Linked DNA regions of Rattus norvegicus. The protein of the gene in region 1 interacts with the protein of each later gene in a biochemical or structural test. Links are inferred from orthologs where the notes say so. Each region holds a gene or a part of one and is shown in the gene's direction. Other genes may lie near its edges.

Evidence for each region.
Region 2: the proteins of Erbb2 (region 1) and Crk form a complex in vitro, tested with the Homo sapiens proteins (2 studies listed by BioGRID and IntAct, with this or other methods). The link is inferred for Rattus norvegicus from reciprocal best matches to the Homo sapiens genes ERBB2 and CRK.
Region 3: the proteins of Erbb2 (region 1) and Txk form a complex in vitro, tested with the Homo sapiens proteins (2 studies listed by BioGRID and IntAct, with this or other methods). The link is inferred for Rattus norvegicus from reciprocal best matches to the Homo sapiens genes ERBB2 and TXK.

Annotation. Positions count from the first base shown.
Region 1 is NC_086028.1:83,924,554-83,928,201, forward strand, and holds part of Erbb2 (receptor tyrosine-protein kinase erbB-2 precursor), read left to right. Parts: intron 1-1,092; coding exon 1,093-1,140; intron 1,141-2,203; coding exon 2,204-2,342; intron 2,343-2,430; coding exon 2,431-2,553; intron 2,554-2,689; coding exon 2,690-2,788; intron 2,789-3,227; coding exon 3,228-3,413; intron 3,414-3,549; coding exon 3,550-3,648. UniProt on the Homo sapiens protein: Protein tyrosine kinase that is part of several cell surface receptor complexes, but that apparently needs a coreceptor for ligand binding. Essential component of a neuregulin-receptor complex, although neuregulins do not interact with it alone.
Region 2 is NC_086028.1:61,028,075-61,031,800, forward strand, and holds the start of Crk (adapter molecule crk), read left to right. Parts: upstream 1-842; 5' UTR 843-881; coding exon 882-1,122; intron 1,123-3,726. UniProt on the Homo sapiens protein: Involved in cell branching and adhesion mediated by BCAR1-CRK-RAPGEF1 signaling and activation of RAP1.
Region 3 is NC_086032.1:35,869,881-35,873,628, forward strand, and holds the end of Txk (tyrosine-protein kinase TXK), read left to right. Parts: intron 1-344; coding exon 345-502; intron 503-2,969; coding exon 2,970-3,038; 3' UTR 3,039-3,572; downstream 3,573-3,748. UniProt on the Homo sapiens protein: Non-receptor tyrosine kinase that plays a redundant role with ITK in regulation of the adaptive immune response. Regulates the development, function and differentiation of conventional T-cells and nonconventional NKT-cells.

The DNA of each region.
Region 1 (3,648 bases):
AGCGTATTACGAGAAGGGTGCGATAATATGAGGCTGGTTTAACTTATACTGAGGTGTAATTTTTATCTCTCTCTCTTTTTTTTATTCATTTATTATATATAAGTACACTACACCTCTCTTTAGACATACCAGAAGAGGGCATCGGATCTCTTTACAGATGGTTGTGAGCCACCATGTGGTTGCTGGGAATTGAACTCAGGACCTCTGGAAGAGCAGTCAGTGCTCTTAACCACTGAGCCATCTCTCCAGCCCTTATATCTCTTTTCTAATTACAAAAATAACACATTTGGGTCTGGAGAGGTGGTTAAGATCACTCGCTGCTCTTTCAGGGGGGTGAAACTTGGCTCCGCATCCTCTCCTACAAGGGCATCTCCATCTACCCCTCTACAAACGTCTCAGTTCAGAGCATGTCGCTCAGGACGGGCCCTGTTTGAGGGATGTCACTCTCACTTGCCTATTTATTTCATCCTGACCACCGCTTTCCCTCCTCCCCTCCCCTCAGCCCCTCCAACCCCCAATCCATTCCTCCTCCATTTCCTCTCAGATGGCATATCAAGTTGCAGTAAGACTAGGCTCCTCCTCTTCTAGTAAGGCCTGATTTTTTTTTTTTTTAAACCAGCCCATTGCTGTTCAGCTCTACACACAAAGGGGCGTCTGTGTGCATGCCTTCTTGTGACCTGGTGTTGGCATGGTAGTACCGACTGTTGAGGCAGAACTGTTGATATTTTACTGCTTGGTGGGTGGAGATGGATGCCAGGACCTTGTAGACCCTTTCCTTGTAGCCCTGCCCCGGTGTGTTTAATAGATCTCCTCAAACTCTCCTTCCATGTACCATATACCCTAGGCCTCTTTTGTGGAGGGGCTAGCTGACCTTCCCGCCCTAATAGTGCTTCCTGCTCTCAGCACAGGAAGTTATAGCAATGCAGGGGAGGTGGGCTCCCAGACTGGAGAGGGAATCTTCTTGTGGGCTGGTACAGAACAAATTGGTGACCTGGAGCCCTGTTTCTGTTTGTCACATGGAGTAATCCTGCCACGCCCACCCCCGGAGCCTGTCCCCAGGTTTGATGATGGCACTCTCTCTCTCTTCTGCAGCTGTGTGGATCTGGATGAACGAGGCTGCCCAGCAGAGCAGAGAGCCAGGTGGGCCCCCAGAGGTACCCCCGCACCCCCGACTCCTTCATTGGCCTCGGTGGTCAGTAATGAAGAGAGATTAACCAGCATGCTGCATGTGCCTCTCTCCTTAGTCCCGTTCTTTCTCTATTAACTTTTGTTTCAACAAGTGGATAGTCCTGCTCAGGATGCTGTGGGGTAAGGGATGCTGGGAAATGTAGTTCCCTAGGGATGCAGTGACAGCGTGCAGAGCCTGAGAGTATTCTAGCTGGGCAGCTAGAAGCTTCCAGGATGGAGTATTGTGCTTTTTGTGCCCTCAGGTGGAGAGTCATGTAAATCGAGGGTGGCTAAGAACTCTCTGGTGTGTGCTATGAGCCACACCAGTGCAGAGGGGTGTAAACTGAAGTTGTGAGATACACAGATCTGGAGGGTAGGGTAGAGTTCTTGACCCCTGGGCCATGGGACTCTGGTTTGTCAGAGGAGAGTGGTAGAAGGGAGAAAAGCAGTCTAGGGTATGCTGTTCGCCTGTGAGGCAAACATTAGATGCTGGCTCTAACGACAGGCCTCATGCAGAGCAAGATGGGGTTTCAGGGAGCAAGGATGACAAGAATGAGTTCTGCCCGGACATGTGGCAGACACCTGTAACCCCAGCACTTGGGAGACTGAGGCACATGGATTGTGAATACAAAGCCAGCCTGGGCTATTCGTGAGGTAGCCTCAAAACTAAGTATACCAACCAATAATGGTCTCATGAGAATCCAGGGACCCTGTGTGCCCCAAGATGAGCTGAATCATAGACAATTATATCATGGAGAAATAAAGGTCCTGGTAATGGGAACCTGCGACTGCAAGGCTCCTTGAAGAATGCTTTGACTAGTACCTGAGAGTCTTGGGGTACATATTACTAGACCCTATTTCCTGTGTGGCAGAAGCCCCTGGGGGTGGGCTGCACAGTGCAGACTAACAAGGCCTTTGATGCATTTTTCTCCCATGAAGTTTTGGAGCCCAGGAACACTCCTGTCCCTTCATGGGGGTCTCTCCAAGCTTCCTCCTCAGACTAGCCCCTAATCTCTGACTCTGGCTCTGTTTCCAGCCCGGTGACATTCATCATTGCAACTGTAGTGGGCGTCCTGCTGTTCCTGATCTTAGTGGTGGTCGTTGGAATCCTAATCAAACGAAGGAGACAGAAGATCCGGAAGTATACGATGCGTAGGCTGCTGCAGGAAACTGAGGTGAGGCATGGTGAGGGCCTCCTAGTGCCCCCCTCGGACTTACAGCTTATACTCAGCACTCACCCTACCTACTACCCTCTCTGTTCAGTTAGTGGAGCCGCTGACGCCCAGCGGAGCAATGCCCAACCAGGCTCAGATGCGGATCCTAAAAGAGACGGAGCTAAGGAAGGTGAAGGTGCTTGGATCAGGAGCTTTTGGCACTGTCTACAAGGTCAGGAGGGACCAGGTTCTGGCATGGGTGGATCTAAGGGAGGGGCAGGGTCAAGAGACAGGAGTGAGCCAAGCTGGAGGCTACTCTTCAATGGCTTGTTGGGGAGCCTGATTCAAGTCCTTTTCTTTTTGCTCAGGGCATCTGGATCCCAGATGGGGAGAATGTGAAAATCCCCGTGGCTATCAAGGTGTTGAGAGAAAACACATCTCCTAAAGCCAACAAAGAAATTCTAGATGTAAGCCCCTCCTCTCTAGGGAATGTGAGGAGCCTCCCTTTCACCCTCTCCCTTGGGATTGTGAGGACCCCAGCCCTTCACCGGCCTCCCTTGGGAATGTGAGAAGACCCCCTTCAGGCTCCCCCTTGGAAATGTGATCCCCCTTCACACTCCCCCTTGGGAATGTGAGGACCTTCCCCTCCTTCACTGTCTCCTTTGGGAATGTGAGAAGCCCCTCCCCTTCATGCTCCCCCTTGGGAATGTGAGGAGCTCCCAGGTGCAGATCTGGGCTGCTTTCTCCTCATCAGGGTTTGAGATAGAAGCCCCTAAACCTTGACTCTTAACCTTCCTAGTCTGGAGGCTCTGGTTGTAGCCAGTGAGGGATGGGTGAGGGTCTCTGGGAGAGGAGAGTGGATGGAAGTAGGTGGCTTCCTGTATCCCTTTGTACCCTCGTCTGCAGGAAGCGTATGTGATGGCTGGTGTGGGTTCTCCGTATGTGTCCCGCCTCCTGGGCATCTGCCTGACATCCACAGTACAGCTGGTGACACAGCTTATGCCCTACGGCTGCCTTCTGGACCATGTCCGAGAACACCGAGGTCGCCTAGGCTCCCAGGACCTGCTCAACTGGTGTGTTCAGATTGCCAAGGTATGTGCTTTAGGGGTTGCTGGCTCTGGAGATCCTTTGGGTGCAAGTCCCTGCCTTCATTTGGGGCCAGGATGAGGTGGGAGTGTCCCTAAGGTGAGATTTAGACTCACGATCCACACTGGTGCCCTCTGTCCAGGGGATGAGCTACCTGGAGGACGTGCGGCTTGTACACAGGGACCTGGCTGCCCGGAATGTGCTAGTCAAGAGTCCCAACCACGTCAAGATTACAGATTTC
Region 2 (3,726 bases), about 23 Mb from region 1:
TCCCCACTTGCCATTCAACACCGAACCATTCAACCTACACCATCTCATCTGTGGACTCCTTGTTCTTATTTGCTTTCGTTTTATAATATAGGGCCTGAAACACAGTGATCCTCCTGTCTCAGTTTCCTAAGGGTTGGGATTACTGTCATAGTCACTTTACCCGGCCCTTGGATTCCTCTAGGATTACTTAGTTGATTTCCTTGTGTCTCTGTTTCCCATCACAGCAGACATTAATGGTTTCCTGATCCCTCCCACTGGTCTGTGAATTCGGTGACTTAAGGCTCAGTCTAGGTCAGTACTGCACCTGCAAGGCAAATGTGTTATCTATGGCTACTCCTAGATAGCAAGAACTTCGACTGACCTCCGGGGAAACCGAAGGAAACACCGGGAAAGACCAGCTTGTTAGGGAGCTTTGAGGGCATCCTGGGACCACATCATCTTTTTTACTCCAGTCCTTTTACTGGAGCTGCTACCTGTAGGTCCTGGGAGAAAGACCGCCTCTACCAATCTGTCAAACACCAGTTAGTCAAACACCAGTCAGTCTGAAGATTGAGGCTCCGCCCCTTAAACCTAGACTCCGCCTCCCCATCCTCCGCCGTTGGGGTTCTGGACCGGGCGGCGACGCCCATGAGGACGCATGCGCACTGCGGGCCCCAAGGACTCCGTTTCCCTTCTCCCAATGGCGGGCGGCGGTCCCCTTCCCGGCAGCCTCCCTCGGGTAGAGAGCGCGTCATTTCCGGTGGGGAAGGCCCGCGGCTGCCGCCGCCATTTCGGGCGCTGCTGGGAGGCTTACACCGGAGCCGGTCCGCTGGGCGGCGGGCGCCAGGGCTGGAGGGGCGCGCGTGCCGGCGGCGGCCCAGCGTGAAGGCGCGGAGGCGGCCATGGCAGGCAACTTCGACTCGGAGGAGCGGAGTAGCTGGTACTGGGGCCGCTTGAGCCGGCAGGAGGCGGTGGCGCTATTGCAGGGCCAGCGGCACGGGGTTTTCCTGGTGCGGGACTCGAGCACCAGCCCCGGGGACTATGTGCTCAGCGTCTCCGAAAACTCGCGCGTCTCCCACTACATCATCAACAGCAGCGGCCCGCGCCCTCCAGTGCCTCCGTCGCCCGCTCAGCCTCCGCCGGGTGAGGGACAGACGGGCGGGAGGCCCGGGCGGGGGTGAAGGCCCTAGAACCCTGGTCGGCTGCAGGAGGGACGTGGGCAGAGAGGGCTGGAGTGAACCTGGCGGGGGAGCTGCCTTCTGACCAAGCTGGTTCCCACCGATGAGCGGGATTGTGGGGGAGGAGGAGCTGCTCACCGAGGCCTCTGGGTGTGCCTTGGGAGCCGGGGAAGGGGAACTGCTGCGGCCCCGGGGTGGGGCTGGGCGCCAGGGTCAGGCCCAAGGGCAGGGCAGGGCAGGGCCAGGCAACTTGGGGACAAAGAGTTAATGGGGATGTTGCGGGGACATCATTTGGCAGAGATGCCCAGAATGGATCTGCTAATCCTACAAGTGGCTTTTAGGCTTGAAACGTTTCCTGCAGTGTTAGAGCTGGGTTTGGCCATACTCCCCTGGTGGCCTTCGGTAGGAAGTCACCACGTACTTGGCTGGCTGGGAGGGATGGAGACACCCTCAGGAAGCCGGTCAGCTTTTTCCTTTCTTGGGCATTTTTCCAAAATCTTTTTACCGTGCTCTTCCCTTGTGGAAGGTGGTGAACTAAGTGACTTGGTAATAGAAAAAAAGCTTTCTGTGACCAGCCCAGCGTAATTGAAGCCTAGCTGGCAAATTGTGTCCAAGAGGTTTTAAGTGTCCAAAAGACTGCCCGCTGCACGTAGAGTTTCTAGTTTCAAAGTGATTAGTGGAGGAAGGTTTTTTTTTTCCTTTAGGAAATAAACCAAGCATAGGCCAGGGAGAACAACCTTGGAAGTGAATGGAATTTCATTCTTCCTGGGCTTAAACAGTGTCAGTCAACGTACTTCTGGGTCTTTTCTTGCTAAGTTGGTGCTGTGGTCAAAATCTTCCAGGATATGAGAGCAGACCTAGCTGGCAGATACACCAAGAATAATTATCCCGCTGTGTTTTCCTCATCGAGGACCATTGAGTTGTAATTGTCTCAGCTGTATTATTGCAGTTGTCTTGGCAATGTTAAGGAAATTCATGCACTTCGTCCTTGAAGTTTGTGAGATGCACAGTGATTCTGAGATTACTGTTGTCTCTGTGTGTTGGCACCAAGCTTCTTGCTTTCTGGATGTTTGAAGTGCAAGCTTGTTCCTCCTAGAGCTGAGCTAATCTCATGAATGGAGACTCCCTGGTTAGCCGTTTAGTAGACCTCCTTTTAGGATCATCCTAATTTAGACTTACTCCCTTTGGCCACAAATGAGGAGGTAGAGGTGGGATAAACAGTTCTTGGTGTTGGCACACAAGTAAGGGGAAAATTTGAGTACTGAAGTCTTCTTAGTCTTTTTGTGTCTGTTGGTTTAATAATATAAAATCAGATACAACACAATTGCCCTAAACATAGTAAATTCTATTTTTGTGCTATCTGTAAAATAATCTGTTGTTTTGTGTTAAGGGCAGTAGTAAGATGAAATGTTATTGTTGAAATTCAATTCTCAGCCAAGTTTCATAATTCATGCTTTTAATCCCAGCACCTAGGAGGCTGAGGCAAGATTTTACAAGTTCCAGGTCATCTGGGAAACTTAGCAAGATTCTGCCTCAAAATAAAAAGTTATGTTAGGGGGTGTGACTAGGGATATAGTTGAGTGGTAGTTTATTTGCCTGACATTTGGGGAGGCTAGGTTTTATTCCCAATAGCTGGGGGTGAGGGACTCGGTCCTCAGTTTTCTCCTTGTTTGAAAATGTGGGACTAGCATCAGGCAGGCTTGTGGTTTTATATCTCGGTAGCTCCACCTTTTCAAAATAGGTGTTTGGCCTAGGAGAGGAGAAGATTGCCAGTTTGTGGGTTAGGTGTGGAAAGTTCATTGGCTTTGTGGCAATTTGTTCTGTCGTGTTCCCCATTTTCTCTGTAGGACACTCAATTCACTTGCTGTCTTTATGATGGTCACTTAATCGCTGTTCTGCCATCCATTAAACTGTTTTTCTTTTGAAGCCACACAGGAATTACTTGAGTTTTAGAGAGACATATATAATTTTAATAGTTTACACTTATTGACTGACTATTGTATGCTACATGCTTTGCTAAATGTGCCTTATATAATTCACCATCAGTAAAACAATCCAATGAGTGAAATTCTGCAATCTCCATTTATTAAAACATTTTCATTTGGAGGTGGGGAGAAGAACTAGAAATCCAGTAACCTGTAACATTTAGCATATAAACCAGAATTTGAACTAGACAGTGTGACCTGAGAACTGACTATTGTATAATTTTGGTATTCTTTGTTTATTTGCTTTGGAATCCCTGGGGTGCACATAGGGAACTCCATTCTTTTGTTTTGAAACAGGGTTTCACTCTGCAGCCCTAGCTGGTCTGCAACCATATAAACTAGGCTGGCTTTGAACTCAGGAGAATTCTTGCTTCTGCCATCTGAGTGCTCTGAGATCCCGCAGAGTGGCTCAGTAGGCAAAAGCACAGCTTTGCCAGCTTGAGGGTCTTGTTTGATCCTCAATCCCGGGGTTGGATAAGAGAAGGAACACCTCAGAGTTGTCCTGACTTCCACAGACTCACATCAGTCATGCACATACTGTAGTTCTGGCTGGCCTAGAACTGATTACACTTGTGTGCACACAC
Region 3 (3,748 bases), on another chromosome or scaffold:
GTGACATAGAAGGCAAATTCAGCCAAAACTCCCATATCACAGAGTCTTGGAGGAAAGGGTCTGGGTTACCACTGAGTTTCCAGTGTTTTTAATAAACTCCCTTGTTTAGCTATGCAGAAGCTCATCTGCTTTCCAACTTGACAATTTGAGCTTAACATCTGGATTAGAAAAAATAGCGCACACCTTTCACTTTATACTTTCAAGGCCTTTGGGATTTGCACCTTGCCTTCTTGAGATCCTTGCCCCTTGGCTTCCGGGGCTGGAAGAGATTAACATCTTGCAGCTTGAATGAAACCGTTGTTTTGGTTCCAAGTGACTCTTGTTTTAACATGTTTTATTTGCAGGAGTTTTAATGTGGGAAGTTTTTACAGAAGGAAAAATGCCCTTTGAGAATAAGTCCAATTTGCAAGTGGTGGAAGCCATTTCTAAAGGTTTCCGGCTCTATCGTCCTCACCTGGCCCCCATGTCCATATACGGAGTTATGTACAGTTGCTGGCATGAGGTAGGTGTCCCTTATTACCGACTCTGTACCTGCTGCCTGCTTTCTGATCATGACCCTGAGAGTCAGCCCACCACTTCTCTTATGGCACCCCCACCCCAGTCTCAAGTCTGTTTTGTTTCTCACAAAGGACTTTCATCTGGGAGCTCGTTCCCAAGCCTTGTCTGTCTGGGATTGGTTCTTAGAGAAACTGGATGTTTCTAAAGACTCTTGATTAGATGATCTATTGTCTTGAAGAACTGGGTGGTGGAACTGGGAACAGAATCTGGTTTGTTGACCTTCCCCACAGAATAAGGAGGATGCCATTTTATTCATTGCACTTTACTTCTGTTCACCTCCACACTCAAGGGTTTCCTCTCACCCCGGTTAAGACTCCTGATAGAGAGATTAAACCAGAATAGAAACTGAAGGCAGGCTGTGCTGGGAGCTAGCACTTGGGAAACCATCACTTAGGAGTTGCTCTTTTTGTTGAAATGCCAAGATGAAAAATGAAGCCAGAGGGGTAGGTTTCTGTCTCTTCCCCACCCCACCTCCCACCCCTTCTTTTCTGGGCATCCATTCAACAGCCATTCCGCTCTTATCAGTCTGTGGTTTTTGAGACCTCTGCTCTGTAGTTAGCAGGCTTACCCCAGAAAAATCACAGCTTGGTGGTGGTAGTGGTGGGGTCTCCTATGGCCTGAAACACAAACAAACTCACATGCATCATTTGATTCCCAATCCACAAACACTGGGAAAACCAGTATTTCAAGAGTGGTGGGACTGTTCATATTTCAGAGAGGCATTGCATCTGGGAAGATCAATGGGAATAGATCAATAGGGAAATAGTCATGGTTAGCTGTTCTACAAGGAATCTTGAAAGTCCAAAGAATTGTCCAGTAAGTCGCTAGTAGCCACACACTATATTAGTTCCCATCACAATGTAAATGGCTTAGGCCACGCAGATGGTGGCTTCCATGGTTTTGACTTAGAATTTTTCCAACTTTACAATGCCATGTTTCAAGCATCTAATGTTGATATGAAGTAGGAGCCTCTACTGAGATGCTGGGAAGGAGCCCATCTTTCAGGCAGCCACAGCTCACAAGATTGGATAAATGATTGCTGTGGATGTCACTAAGCTGTGCTTTCTGGTAGAGTACTTGCACAAATGCACCTTTAGCTTATGATGTTTTAAGCTTAGAATGGGTTTATTGGGAGATGACTGTGTCCTAAGTCAAGGATCATTAGTAAGCGTGCACGTGTGCACAGAACATGGCCATCTTGTGTATTATTTGTGAGCTGAGAGGAAGAAGGGTAAACAGGAAGATCACAGAAGGAACCGTCTCAAACTGCAGGCAAACAGAGCACGCATGCACATTGAGATACAAGCTACTAGTTTCAACTCTGCCCATAGCGATCTCGATTTCATTGCAGAGGGTAAGTGAATAAAATGTAATTAATCGTGGAAGTCTAATAGCCTAAGTGAAGTCCTGAGGCCCAAGGATGGCCAATCTAACTGTATAGAAGTTCGCTGATGGGTATAATTTGGGGCTAGGTAAATATTTGTTTGAATGGCTTCCTTAGACTGCCTGTTTTTGATTGTGAGATAATTGGAATAATGTGAATTTACTATTTTTAAAAAAGATTGTTGATAAACATGGCAGATTCTGCCTGTTGAGCTGGACCCTTCCAGAAAGGTCCATGATTTATTCCTGGATCCTCATCAAGGATCAGGATCCTCTCACAGTGTCTGCCACCTGCTTCCCCCCACCCCCACCCCTTTCATCCCATCGCAGTGGGTAGCTCTAACTCCTGCAGGTTCCAGAGATGACAACAGGGTCATGTCTTCCCCAGGCAGACAGAGCCAAAGCACATTGCAAAGTAAAACAGGGGAAAGTGCTCTGATCTCTGCTTCCGAGGTCAAAGGTACGGTTGACTGTGCTCCAGGATCTACAGGATCCCTGGAGGAGACATGGAGATGTGCCTTTTGCTTTTTATGTGAAGCCCTTCCTGCTAGAGGGGACCAGTATGGTAAACCAGTACTGATATGGAATTGGGGACCTCACACTTCAAATCCCTGTCATTTTCCAGAAGAAATTTCTGTAGTCTGCATACATTCTACACAGATTCTACACGTTCTCTGTCCATGCACTAGGCACCTCTGGCTACAGAGGATTTGAGGAGTGGCTAGTGTAATTGGAGAGCCAAGTTGAAATATGTATTCCTTTTACATTTATTTACATAGCCACTGGTAAGTTACGTTTACAACTCTGGCTGTTTTATCCGTGCCGTTGCGCTATACTCGTCCATGCTCAACCATGCTTCCTCACATGGACACCGTGCCACTGTGTGTCAGCCAGAGCCTGGTGCTCTTCAGTTTGTGCAGAACCGGGATGGGTTGAGGATCTCTGCAAGTTCCACAGCTGGTGTCTGAGTGAGAAGCAGGCCGAGCTGATCGTCTCTCTCTCTCTTTCTCTCTCTCTCTGTTCTCCAGAGCCCTAAAGGCCGTCCGACATTTGCTGAGTTGCTTCAGGTTCTCGCAGAGATCGCGGAAACCTGGTGATCTAAAACGGAACACCAGCCCACAGGGTCATCTTGTAAAACTGTCACAAGGTGGAATCATGGGCATCACTGCTGGGGAGTATCTCCACGAGGGTTGTTGACTCTTGGTAAAGGAGCAAGGGTCACTGGCTTGTCACACTGATTTCAATGCAAAATGCTCTGATGGTAGTCTTTGTACTGCCGTGAGAGAGACTTCTGAACTGCACTCCTCTCACACACTCCACTTCAGCCTTCCAGATGGCTTGCTCATGATAGGTACCCTCACGACCCTTAGAGTGACACAGACCCCTGATTCTTCATAAGGCTAAGGCGACTTCTTTCTTGGGCACTGACATTTCTGTTTGGAGTGGTCCATGCAGAGAGGGGGAAAAATAGGTTCTGCCAACTCATGGAGTAAAGAAACCTTCCCAACAGTTTCATGTTTGGGCCTGTATAAATGTTTATAGAAAACATAGCTTTGGAAACCTATGTGAACATTCTGGAAATGTCTTTTATAATCTTGCCGTATGTTATTTAATAAACTCTTTTGATTATTGTGAGGTCTAAGTTTTTGCATTCTAGTTTTAAAGACTGTTGAAAATCTGAACCAACGCACCCTTTGAACATATCTTGGCGAAATTTCTATTTCTAATGCTATCTGGTATCAGGGAAATCCAGAGCCCACCTTCGGTTCTGATAGTTCGTCCTTGGTATAAGTGAGACAGAGTAATC